Caenorhabditis elegans: one gene and its partner. The protein of the gene in region 1 interacts with the protein of each later gene in a pairwise test. Each region holds a gene or a part of one and is shown in the gene's direction. Other genes may lie near its edges.

What was found. The genes of interacting proteins can lie anywhere in the genome.
Region 2: the proteins of drp-1 (region 1) and nhr-108 interact in a two-hybrid assay, tested with the Caenorhabditis elegans proteins (one large-scale study listed by BioGRID).

The regions. Positions count from the first base shown.
Region 1 is NC_003282.8:5,536,848-5,543,590, forward strand, and holds drp-1 (Dynamin-1-like protein drp-1), read left to right. Parts: upstream 1-1,640; 5' UTR 1,641-1,642; coding exon 1,643-1,955; intron 1,956-2,005; coding exon 2,006-2,571; intron 2,572-2,616; coding exon 2,617-3,366; intron 3,367-3,482; coding exon 3,483-3,633; intron 3,634-3,683; coding exon 3,684-3,773; intron 3,774-3,825; coding exon 3,826-3,920; intron 3,921-3,971; coding exon 3,972-4,088; intron 4,089-4,137; coding exon 4,138-4,194; 3' UTR 4,195-4,518; downstream 4,519-6,743. Other genes in the region: Sex-determining protein fem-1, read right to left, coding at 1-207, 263-351, 399-504, 555-601, 651-711, 756-881, 935-1,009; tebp-2 (SPK domain-containing protein), read left to right, coding at 4,790-4,974, 5,043-5,738, 5,784-6,251, 6,301-6,743. UniProt on the Caenorhabditis elegans protein: Functions in mitochondrial division. Functions in peroxisomal division. Mediates membrane fission, perhaps mainly of the mitochondrial outer membrane. Mitochondrial fission may be promoted by recruitment to mitochondrial membranes via the egl-1/ced-9 complex.
Region 2 is NC_003283.11:15,921,497-15,926,852, reverse strand, and holds nhr-108 (Nuclear hormone receptor family member nhr-108), read left to right. Parts: upstream 1-2,380; 5' UTR 2,381-2,448; coding exon 2,449-2,531; intron 2,532-2,588; coding exon 2,589-2,859; intron 2,860-2,933; coding exon 2,934-3,123; intron 3,124-3,173; coding exon 3,174-3,285; intron 3,286-3,334; coding exon 3,335-3,695; 3' UTR 3,696-3,811; downstream 3,812-5,356. Other genes in the region: pzf-1 (Paired zinc finger protein 1), read left to right, coding at 1-56, 137-181; F35E8.13 (ShKT domain-containing protein), read right to left, coding at 699-1,087, 1,202-1,463, 1,511-1,609; cdr-1 (CaDmium Responsive), read right to left, coding at 4,080-4,229, 4,283-4,541, 4,594-4,661, 4,711-4,833, 5,181-5,312. UniProt on the Caenorhabditis elegans protein: Orphan nuclear receptor.

The DNA.
Region 1 (6,743 bases):
CAGAACATCCAGAAAACCGGAAAGTGCTGCACCCATCAATGGATCAACTCCTTGTATGTCTTTCATGAGGACCGATCCGTGTTTCAGAAGAATTTTCACAACTTCCACATTTCCACTTTCTGCAGCGTCATGAAGAGCCGTATTTCCTCTCTCGGTTTTCTTGTTCACATCGATTCCGGTTTTTAGGAGCTCTTCCACAATTCCAACCTACAAAATTTTAGTTTTTCTCATATTTTGTTAATTAAAAATTTCAAAATCATACTTTATTTCTGTAGGATGCAATCATCAGGCACGTATGACCATGACGATTCGGTATATGTGGATCTGCACCTTTTTCGAGTAAATATTTCACTGAAAATCTTATTTTTAAAAAAGCTTCTTCGACTTCAAGGAATTACCAATATCCAAGTGTCCATCGTAACATGCACCTCTTAATGGAGTACTTCTTGTGTTAGTTGCTTGATTTACATCTGCATTTGCCTTTTCGATCAAGAGCTTTACGATCTGAAATCGAAATAAAACATTATTGCATTAAATAATGAAATATTTTTCACTTCAATGTGTCCAGCAGCGGAGGCAGCCCACAAAGGAGGTGTTCCTTCTGAAAACTATTGTTTTATTTTCTTTTCAGAACAGAAATAAAAACTTACGAATGTTTTCGTTGTCAAATTCCACAACACCACGAACAGATGGATCGGCTCCAATTTCTAGCTGAAAATCTTCTCATTTAATTAATTAATTTTCATTTTTCCCACCAAATATTCGACGACATTTGCGTGTCCATTTCTTGCAGCAATCACAAGTGGATATCGTCCGTCTTGATCAGAATTGAAGCAATCAATTATCCATTGTCGATCGTTTCTTGAATTTATTGTGAAAACCTGGAAATTCATTTATTTTGACAACTTTTCTTTAACTTGAGCTTTTTGCTTACTTTAATTCTCTGCAAATTTCCAACCGCCGCAGCATTATAAATTACTGTTCGAAAATGATGTCCATTTGGTGTCATACCGCCAATTTTTCCAAAAAAAAACTGGCGGAATTTTAATAGAAATTGCAGAAATTCGAGAAGAAAAAGAAAAGAAAATACTCCTCGTGATTTGTCGTCGGATAGGGTGCACGGTCTGCAATCTGACGTGAGGATTATTGCGGAGTGCTCGAAATTTTGAGTTCAGCGCCGCGGCGGAAATATCGGATATCAGAGATTTTCCCGTCGGTTTTGTCAACTTTTGCCTCAATTTTATCAATTTTTCCGTAAAAATCTCAAAGATCGTTACTGTTTGTATCATTGTTTGAAACAAACTACGCAGAATGATGCAAAATTGTATAGGAACTCCCATGGTTGACATTTTCCCAGGGAAAAATGAGTAAGTGGCAGGATCGAAAAGATGATATAAAAGTTGGCGTTCACAGTCAATCGAAGGCCAAGTAGACTATCTGAATTTCTATTTGCGCACATTTTATCACTTGTTATCACTGGTGTGTTCAAATGCATTGTTTTTCACTTTGTGATCACTGGCAGTTGTTCTTTCTCATTTCAAACATCATTTCGCAACTGCCTCGTCATTTTTACTCTTCTCCTCGTAAAACTCTTTATATAAATGATACTCTCATTTCGATTCAAAAATTTTAAATTTTACAGATGGAAAATCTCATTCCTGTCGTCAATAAACTACAGGATGTTTTCGCAACGTTAGGCAGGAAAGAAGATCAAATTCAACTTCCACAGATTGTAGTCGTCGGATCACAGTCGGCCGGAAAGTCTTCAGTGCTCGAAAATCTAGTCGGTCGGGATTTTCTGCCGCGTGGTACTGGAATTGTCACTCGCAGGCCATTGATTCTTCAGTTAAATCACGTTGCTCTCGATGATGAATCCAAAAGAAGACGGTCAAATGGAACACTTCTCACAGATGATTGGGCAATGTTCGAACATACTGGCTCTAAGGTTTTCACAGGTGAGAATTTAGTAATTTGAATATTGCGAGAAATTTAAACAATTTTCCAGACTTCGATGCCGTGCGAAAAGAAATCGAAGATGAAACTGATCGTGTAACTGGAGTGAATAAAGGAATCTCTCTTCTTCCAATCAGTTTGAAAATTTATTCCCACAGAGTTGTCTCCCTCTCCCTGGTCGATCTTCCCGGCATCACAAAGATCCCAGTTGGTGATCAACCAGTCAATATTGAAGAGCAAATCCGTGAAATGATTCTTCTCTACATTTCAAATCCTTCTTCTATCATTCTGGCTGTAACTCCAGCGAACCAGGATTTCGCTACTTCGGAGCCTATCAAGTTAGCTAGAGAAGTGGACGCAGGTGGACAAAGAACTCTCGCAGTTCTCACGAAATTGGATTTGATGGATCAAGGAACTGATGCGATGGACGTATTAATGGGGAAAGTGATTCCAGTAAAGTTGGGAATTATTGGAGTCGTTAATCGATCTCAACAGAATATTCTCGACAACAAACTGATCGTGGATGCAGTGAAAGATGAGCAAAGCTTTATGCAAAAGAAATATCCAACATTAGCTAGCAGAAATGGAACTCCTTATTTGGCAAAGAGATTGAATATGGTAAGAATTTCAATAAATAAAAAATTATTTAGAAATTAATTTCAGCTTCTCATGCACCATATTCGCAACTGTCTTCCTGCACTGAAAGCCCGCGTGTCTATCATGAACGCCCAATGCCAATCGGATCTTGTTGCATTCGGTGAACCAGTTGAAGATAAGAACAGAACACTTCTTCAAATCATAACTCGATTCGCAACTGCTTATACATCAACTATCGAAGGAACTGCCCGCAATATTGAAACAACTGAGCTATGCGGAGGTGCTCGTATATGCTACATTTTCCACGATACCTTCGGAAGATCTTTGGAATCTGTCAATCCATTGGAAAACCTCACACAATTGGATATTTTGACTGCGATTAGAAACGCGACAGGACCAAGGCCAGCTCTTTTCGTACCAGAAGTCTCATTTGAATTGCTTGTCAAGCGACAAATTCAACGATTGGAGGAGCCATCGTTGAGATGCGTTGAGCTGGTACACGAAGAAATGCAACGAATGGTTCAGCATTGCGGATTCACTACTCAACAGGAGATGATTCGTTTCCCAAGATTGTACGATAAAATCAATGAGGTCGTTAGTGGAGTTCTGAAAGAGAGGCTGAAGCCCACCAATGAGCTTGTCGAGAATCTTGTAGCCATTGAACTTGCTTACATTAATACAAAACATCCAGAATTCACAGAAGCCAATTTGGTGACACTTTTGAAAGAGGAGCTTCTTCTCGACGATCGGCATGGTCGCAGTAGAAATCGACATGCATCAACCGGAGAAAGAGCGGTCAGTGCTCATGGAGAACAGGTGGGGGCAGGAACTTCCTGCCAGGAAGTGCGGATGACTGACTGGGCTTTAATATTGCATGGGCTTAACCTCATTGGATTCCTAGTATTAAGCAGTCAAATTAAAACAATTTTCAGCAGCTACAACCGGTACCAGGAGTTAATGGTGTCGACTTGAACGCTGTTCTTCAACAACAACAGCAGCAATCCCAGAACCAACGTGCTTCCAATGGATTCCTTGGATTATTCGGCAACGCCGCTGCCAGCAGCAAGACGTCCCCACAAGAAAGTCAGTGGAAAAATAAAGAGTTTGTGGTCATTCAGTATCTATATTTTCAGAGCAATCAGCAAATTTTTTGCCAGAAGTGCCAGAGACGCAACTAGGAAGAAAGTTGACAAGTCGTGAACAAAGAGATGTCGCTATTATCGGTATGAGACCTAGTTTTCAGTTTTTAATTTGGGTTTTTTTTTATTTTTTCAGAACGGCTTATTCGAAACTATTTCATCATTGTTCGTAAGAATATTCAGGATAGTGTGCCGAAAGCTATTATGGCGTTACTGGTCAATTTTGTTAGAGTGAGTTGCAAGCTTAAATTTAAAAATTTAAATTAATTTCTTTAATTTCAGGACAATTTGCAATCGGAGCTCGTTCGTCAGCTGTACAAACCCGACGAGATGGACGATTTGTTGGCTGAAACTGAAGACATGGCTCAGAGAAGAAGAGATACTCTTGAAACTATGAAGGTATTCGGTCTCCTTTTTGATTGGATTCGACACAATTTATTGTTTTCAGGCCCTCCAACAAGCCAGCGTGATCATCAGCGAAGTGAGAGAAACACAAGTTTGGTGATATTCCCATCAAATAATTTCCAGCTGTTTTAACTATTGCAATGTAGATTAGGACGATTCTAATTTTATTTTCACGATTGATTCGATTTATTGTATTTTAACTATTTTTCTTCTTCTCTTCGCCTCGATGATAATTCTAGTTCGGTAACTCCCCCGTTTCTGTATGATCTCTATGCTCCGTTCCCTTTGATGTTTTCTTTTCATGATAATATTGTGTGCTCCTTGAAAGAATCACGGTTTGTTGTAGATTCTAGTTTTTTTTGTGGCTTTTGAAAATATTGGAAACAGAAAGGTGGATTTATATGAAATTCTTTGATGATGCTTGAAAATATTTCGTGTTTATCGTTGATTTTCTCGTTGAACTATTTTTAATATCTTTTTTCCGACCCTTTAAAAAATGTTCACTCAACATGCGCCAATAGCACTGCTGGCGCATTTCGAGTGTCACTCGATCTGCGCCAACAGCTGAGATTGACCACGCCCATAGAACCGTGCGGCAATTGCGCTTTTGCTTCATCCGCACGGTTTTGAAAATTTTAGGATTCATTTTTTGTTTTGTCCAAAAAATTCATTTTCGATATTTCAGCGTTCAAAAAATGTCAACGCGAGCAAAGAAGAATAAGCCGTCAGAACCGTCATTCGACGATGAGCTCCTCATTTGGGAGTTCATTTACGAAAATACGTGTAATATGCAGTTGTTCGATGACGTGAATTTGGACCTCTTCAAGCAATATCTACAAGAACATGAGTCTGTGTTTACGGCGGAGCAGCTATACGAATTGTAAGTGTTTTTCATTTTTAGTTGTTTAAACTTTGACCAAACCAAAAGCTCTAATTTTCAATTTTCAGCTACGTTACAAGAATGAAAGCTACGCTTTACAAATGTGAGCTGGAGCCGCGAAAAATGCTCACTCTTTACAAGAACCTGGAGATCGAAATGAATCAACATGTCGAGACTTTACTGGAGGCCAGATTCAAAACTGTTCTGCGTGTTGACTCGAATAGATGTCTTCAGAAGTTCTCCGAGTTTTCAGCCCCGGAAACTATTCCCGAAACACTTGAAGAAACCGTCCCAGCAACCGCTCCAGAACCCGAACGTTCTCGAAAATTAGTGAATCGAATGCCGCTAGATGTAGAAATCTCCGATTCCTTCGAGAAGCTGATTTGGAATCATGTCTACCTAAACGCCGACCGTCTAACCGGGAAAATTGTGATGGCTGAAGAATTTTGGGACCAGCTGCTCCAATCACAACCGAATATTCCCATCAAGTCGGCTTACATTGTGCTCCACCATTTCAACATAAAGATGCTCGAGAACCTCTGGAAGCAGCCGATGGATCCGTATGCTAAAGCACGGCTCATAAGAGACTTGGCGGTGCCATTGAGTCTTCGTCAGCGTAAATGGATGCTCGACAATGATCGTCTGAATTTGAAATTGTCATTGAACGGATTTGTGGAAGACTGGGATATTGTGCCAGACCAGCCAGCTCCACGTAGCAAAATTCTTCCCTGGAGGCCAAGAACTCCGGCCGGACACCGAGACAGGTATCGGAAAATATCATTTCAGAAGTTTAACTAGAATTATTTCAGATCCCCCAGTAGTCCTATGGCACATCTAGACAATATTCAACCACCATCTCCGATTCAAGTTGTTTCGAATCCAACATTATCGTCCGAATTAAGTTCAAGAGCTTCCAGGGATCAACCAGGACCTTCACGCCCGCGATCGCAGTCAGCCAATGTACGTGAAACGTATGCGCCGAAAAGGATTGAGAAGCGAACGAAATTCACAGTCGACGATCATGTGGTTGCGTGGAAGTTTATCTATGAGAAGTTGGTTGAGGCAGATAAGGAAGGTGTCCAGTTGATGCCCAAGGGGATCGCGTTCTGGAACGATTTTGTCAGAGTCACACGATCGTCGAAAAGTGCAACTAATTGGAGTTCGCACTTTCGAAAGATCATGTGCCCAGGGCTCCACGAGATGCCACTTCACAAGAAAACCATTCTCTACCTGCTTAAGAATATTGGTATTGAAATTGATAAGGAGACTGAGCAAATGTAAGTTTAGAAGTCGTTCATAATCCATCGTAAAACTTACTCGTTTCAGCATCGAGCGAAAGTTTAACGTAAAGCTCCTCGTTGGAATAGACCGCAACTTGATATCCTATAAGCTTTTGGATGCAGAAGAAGAAGAAGTGATTGAGGAAGACGACGAATCGGAAGAAGTTGCTACTCTAGAGGTCATGGATGTTGATGATGAAGATCTGGATGAGACGGTTCCACTTGAATCAAATGAGGCCATGATTCATATGGATGAAAATCTCGATACATCAGTTTTGTCTAACAAAACGATGGATTCTGTGAACAATCTAGAGAATTCTATCACCGAGAGTACAAATGACTTTACCGTTTTCGAAGGTACAGCTGCCGCTGTGCTCCTGCCTTCTGAAGTTGTATCTCAAGATGTTTTTGGATCACAATCCGACTCAACGGTTCCAGAATCTGCTCCAGAGCCGGCCGAGATTTCTTCAAGTTTGGTGGATTCTGATG
Region 2 (5,356 bases), on another chromosome or scaffold:
AAACGGAGACATGGGTGATGATCTTTTCAAATGCCAACAAGTTGTTTCACTCAATGGTGAGTTGATATGGCAATTTGGAGTATCTGGTCATCAAAAGAGTCAAAGATTTCAAGCTGTAAAATTTCAATATTTTCAGAACTCGTTTGGAGAACCATCTGTGAGCCGAGACATTCCGATGTGAACTACTCACAGCGCCCTCTTCCTCCGCCCCAGTATGTGTGCATGTTCTTCTTTTGCCGATCTACATTCCTTTGTTGCCCAACTTGTAATGTTATTTTATCCCTTTTTTATTAGATTATTGCATGACTGTTAGTTTGATTCATTGTGCTCAAGTTTTCTTGTTTGATTTTTCTGTTAATCTCTTTTTCATTTGCCTTTGCAATTTGGAAAATTGTCTCAAAAACTTGTTGAATGAATAGTGGAAAGTTAAACACTTTTTTTGGCATATTTCCGCCTCTGGAAAAATTCAATTACGGGCTGATATACAGATATTTACTGTTGCTCTTGTGCTACGATTATAGGAATTATGCTTTTTAACATTGTTGATGAAATGCAAGTGTTAGTATTTATTGAATCATGTTGGTCAGGCACGAAATATATAATACTAAACATCAATACCAAAAACTCTAATATCATGTTCGTCGTCATCCCCTAATGTGTGCTCATCGTCTCAAGTTGGTCAAAGAGGTATCAAGAAATCAGCAGATTCTGCAAGTAGTCGCACAGTATTGTCTTCTCTGTGCGAGAGTGTAGAAAGTGTTGGTGCAGAAGTTCTTTCCAGCCCAGGCAGCACATGATGGACTGGTATCAGCGATGAAAGAAGAACAGGTTCCAGTAGAAGCAGATGATCGGGTAGTTGTTGAAGATGCACATTTTCCACAGGTTCTCTGGCAGTAGGTGGCCACAAAGGTTTCGAGTCCAGCGGCGGTGCAAATTCTTATGTCATTTGCACAGTCGGGAATAGCATCAACGCATCCTCCCTCATTGCAGAATCCGCAGGCAGATGGACAGTCCGCAGCGATAATTGGTCTCCAAACCGGTGACAGACATTGGGAGGCGGTGATGGTGCCACAGTTGAGACGTGGATCTGAAAAAACAGACCAGTTAGACTAGATAGCATCGATTGTCTTTGGTTCTCTATTTTCTAGAACAGACAAGATTACAGAAGCCGTAGAACTACTGAAGCATGAGTTTGACTCACATGCAACATTTGGGCAGTTGTAACCAGAAGTCTGACAACATAATCCGCAAGTTCTTGGGCATGTGCTCTGAGCTGCATTCTTCATGTCTTGAACTACAGCAGCTGGAGTCGCGGTAGCAGTCGTATAACAAGCCAATGGTCTCTGCTGATCTCTTCCTGGTGATGGATATCCGTCAGCTGCAACTGGGGCAGGGTACAGAACTGCGCAGGATGAATCGGAGATGACATTGCTGCATGCAGTGGCAGCTGCGTTCCAGACAAACTGAAAATCTTAAGATGCGTAAAAGCGGCAGTATCCCGAAAACTTACAGCAGTTCCGTTGTAAGATGTACAGTTAAGATCTCCTCCAATGACTGCACTGGCTTGTGGGGCCAGAAGTGCCAGGATGAATGAAACCAAAGCAATCATTCTGCTGATTTAATTGAGCTTCTCTGTGTGACCAAGACGAGAGCCGAAGAGGGAAGTTTCCACTGTCAGACCATGTATTTTATACTAGTTCAGAGTAACTTTGAACACCTGTTTCGAACAGTCTCCTTACCAAATTGCTCTTAGTGCACCCAGTTTTAGTTTTGAATTGTTTGAACAGAAGAATACCTGTCTGGCCAACGCCGGCCAAAAAATGTAATTGCACATTTTGCTTGCTCTTTTGGATAGTTTCAAATATTCTTACTTTTTTAAAGGAATAATAATTATTCTATAAGACATATTTCTATCCGCAATTCAGTGTGATTTTTTACAGTCACTTGAAAATACTCAAAATACTATAAATCCAACTTACAAAAAGTATAGTTTTTGCAGTTATTTATTTGCACAGATGCATTTTTTGGTTTCACAATATCCACGTCAAAATTAAATGGCAAATAGTGGATTTCATGATTTCTTGAACAATTTTTTTATATTTTAGAGACCGGTAGAGTTTGTTATACGAGTGTTAACCCGATCATATTTTACTTTCAATAATTTAATGGTAAAATTGAAAACCACTGGAGATTTGGAGAATGCCAAAAACAAATGATAAACTCAGGGAATAACTTTAAAGTTATAATAAACGAAGAGCAAATTTAATAATCCATATTTCCTATTTTTATTTTAATCAATTAATTTCTCAAAAACGTATCACGGCCCTACGCAGACTACATTAAAGATAAGAAAACATGTCTCGACAAATTGTTTCTTTTTCATTCTGCGTCTCTATCCTACCGATACACACTTCTTAACTAAATTTTAAATTTCTTTTCTGAAATAAAATGTCTAAAAAATCTGAAAATCAGCCGTGTATGGTGTGCGGAGAGATATCTTATAGTATCCGGTTTGGGGCAGTTTCATGTAGGTAAGTTTTTAGTATTGAATTTATGTTATAAAATTTATAATTCCGACAATTGTTCAGGGCTTGCGCAGAATTTTTCCGACGCAAGATAGTTTCAAAAGCTAGAATACCAAAACGGTGCAATGGTGCTTGTGATCTTGGAAAATATCACCGAAAAACTTGTCAAAGTTGTCGATTTCAAAAGTGTTTGAAAATTGGAATGTTGGAAAAAGTTGTAGCTTCCCGGACACCAGTCAATAGGAGAAGTGAAAACAATCAAACTATATTGTCGGGACTTGAAAAAGCATACGATAAATTGGAAAACTCCAGAGACAATGTTTTCGATAGAAAAGTGAGTTTTTCGGTTTTCCTCGGCCAGTCATAAGATTTCAGTAGTTAATCTAATACTAATTTTTCTAATTTCAGAACAAAATCCCCAAGTACTGCAATCACCAGGAACTGGATGACATGTTCGAAATTGACATAAAACTAATTTCCACGCATTTCATTCAATTTTTTGAATCTAAATCTTCATTGGAAAACAATCAAAATAAGGTTTTATCTACCCACTTCATTATTCGATTTTCACTTCTTGAAGTAGCTTTTAGAGCATTTGGTAAGACAGTTTTATAGTAATTTTAAGTTAAGCGGTAAAAATCTCTTCAGGGAAACCTACATACATTTTACCAAATAATGATATCATTGACGTATCCAAATTAGACAAAGTATATCAACATTTGGAAACAGGTGAAGATGAGAGAGGGAAGAACTCTCAAGTGTAGGTTTTATACCATTCAATTTTTATCCTAAAGAATAAAAATTTTCAGAATTCTACAAAGATTCTGGCAAATGAATGAGAAAACCATGAAAACTGAAGTGTTTCCTGTAAACTTGGATCAATCTGAATTTCTATTTCTATGTGCACTCATCTACTGGGATTTTGGAATTGAAAATCAATCTGAAAAGTGTTTGGAAGAGTGTCAACGGATGCGTACTCAAGTTTTAAAAGAACTCACTGAGTATGAAAAATCAAACTATCCAGAAAATGAACTCCGAGTTGCTCAAGTGATTGGCATCTTGCAAGCTCTGCAAAAAACATTGGACGTGATTCAACACAGCGGATACATTTCAAATGTGTATAATTTAAAAGGAAAACAATGCCCATTGTATGAAGCTACGAATGAATAATAACTTTTTGTCAGAATGGTAATAAATACACCATGTAATTTGACCTCTATCAGTTGCCCCAAATATACACAAGTATTTTTCAGCTTGCGTTATACAATAAAGTTCTTGTGACGTCATATGCTTCGTCGACAATAATTCATCGCCTGACGTTTGTCTGAAAACTGCCCGGTTTACAAACAATTGCACCATGTGCGCCCGATTCTTGTTGTATTTTTTTACCGCACTGTATTGTTGGTGTGGCGAGAGGCAGAAGGAGGTCGCCGAAAGTCGACGAGGCAGGCTTTTTGGACCCTGCCTTGCTCGCGAATTGAAGTATGTATACGTTTAAAACGTAAAACACCACGTAAAATTTTATTGATCTGACTACTAGTTTGACAATTTAATTCACATAGTAAAGTCCTTTGGGTAAACTTCATGACGAACTCTTTCACAGTACTCCAATAACTTTGGGAAGTCCTTTTCGAGAACATCCGAAATGTGATTGCGGAATGGATAATAGACAGTTGCCAATTGAGAGAAGACTGTTGCATCCGCCTGAAAATAAATAATTTCTTGCCAGATACAATTTTATTAGACTGTGTATTTACCGCCGTGATTTCCTCCCCGAAAAGAAACTTTTTCTTGGCCAAGGTGTTCTCTACGATTCGCAAATCTCTGTGAAGAATCTCGTCGAGCTCACTCAATTCAAAATCTCCAATGGCTCCCTGACATTTGTTGTAGACATTTTTCCCGATTATAGCCTTCAAAAGGGGCATGAGAAGGAAATTCAGGAAGGTTGGGAGACCGATTATTTCAATAATGGTTTTGTAGAATTCGTCGACAGCAATTTTAAATCGTATAAGTACGCTGAAATAAAAGTTTTATGACAACGGGAACCATAGTTTGTAAGTTTACTTACAAGAACAAATGGTGATCTGCAAACTTGCTTAGAGCAACAGATTGAGTTTCCAGCTCAGTTGGAAGCGACTGCAAAGTTACAGAAATATAAGATGTAACAGAATAAAGTTTCACTCACCGGAATTTTAAAATGTGATCTCAAGCGCATTTCGATAAGATCAGAATCAGCAATGTGCTCTCCATTGAGTTCAACGAAAGGGACCAATCCATTCCGAGAGCGTTCAGAGGTGCATGTGATAATCTATAAATTGATTGAGGATAAGGCGCTGAAACTTTTTTTGGAGAAAGGCGATCATTCTCTATAAAGTATAAGCTTTTTGAAATATGTTGGGCTTTCGAAAAAAAAATTCCGAAAAATTTTTAGATGAAAAATAATTTTCAAAATGTTCGTATACTTTTAAGCATCCTAAACACATTGAAATTTGCAAAAAAAAAAAAGTTTTAGAGAAACTCTACATTTCTGAAATTTAAAAAATGAAATTTTGGAAACGCTTGATTTTTTTACAGATATTTACGGATTCCTACTTTAAAATTATTTATTTTTGAATCGAGTGATAAAGTTTAAATACCTATCTGGTAAGAAAATACCTCGTAAGGAATCTTGAAGATTCTACAAAGAATCTCGATTTTCATGCAGAAAGGGGACAAGTTCGGACAGTTCTTGAGTCTCTTCATCTGATACAGATAGACTACATCCTTTTTGTAGTCTTTTTTGTGAATCTGAAATATGTCTGGATAAAACTATCCAGGCTGGATTTCAAAGC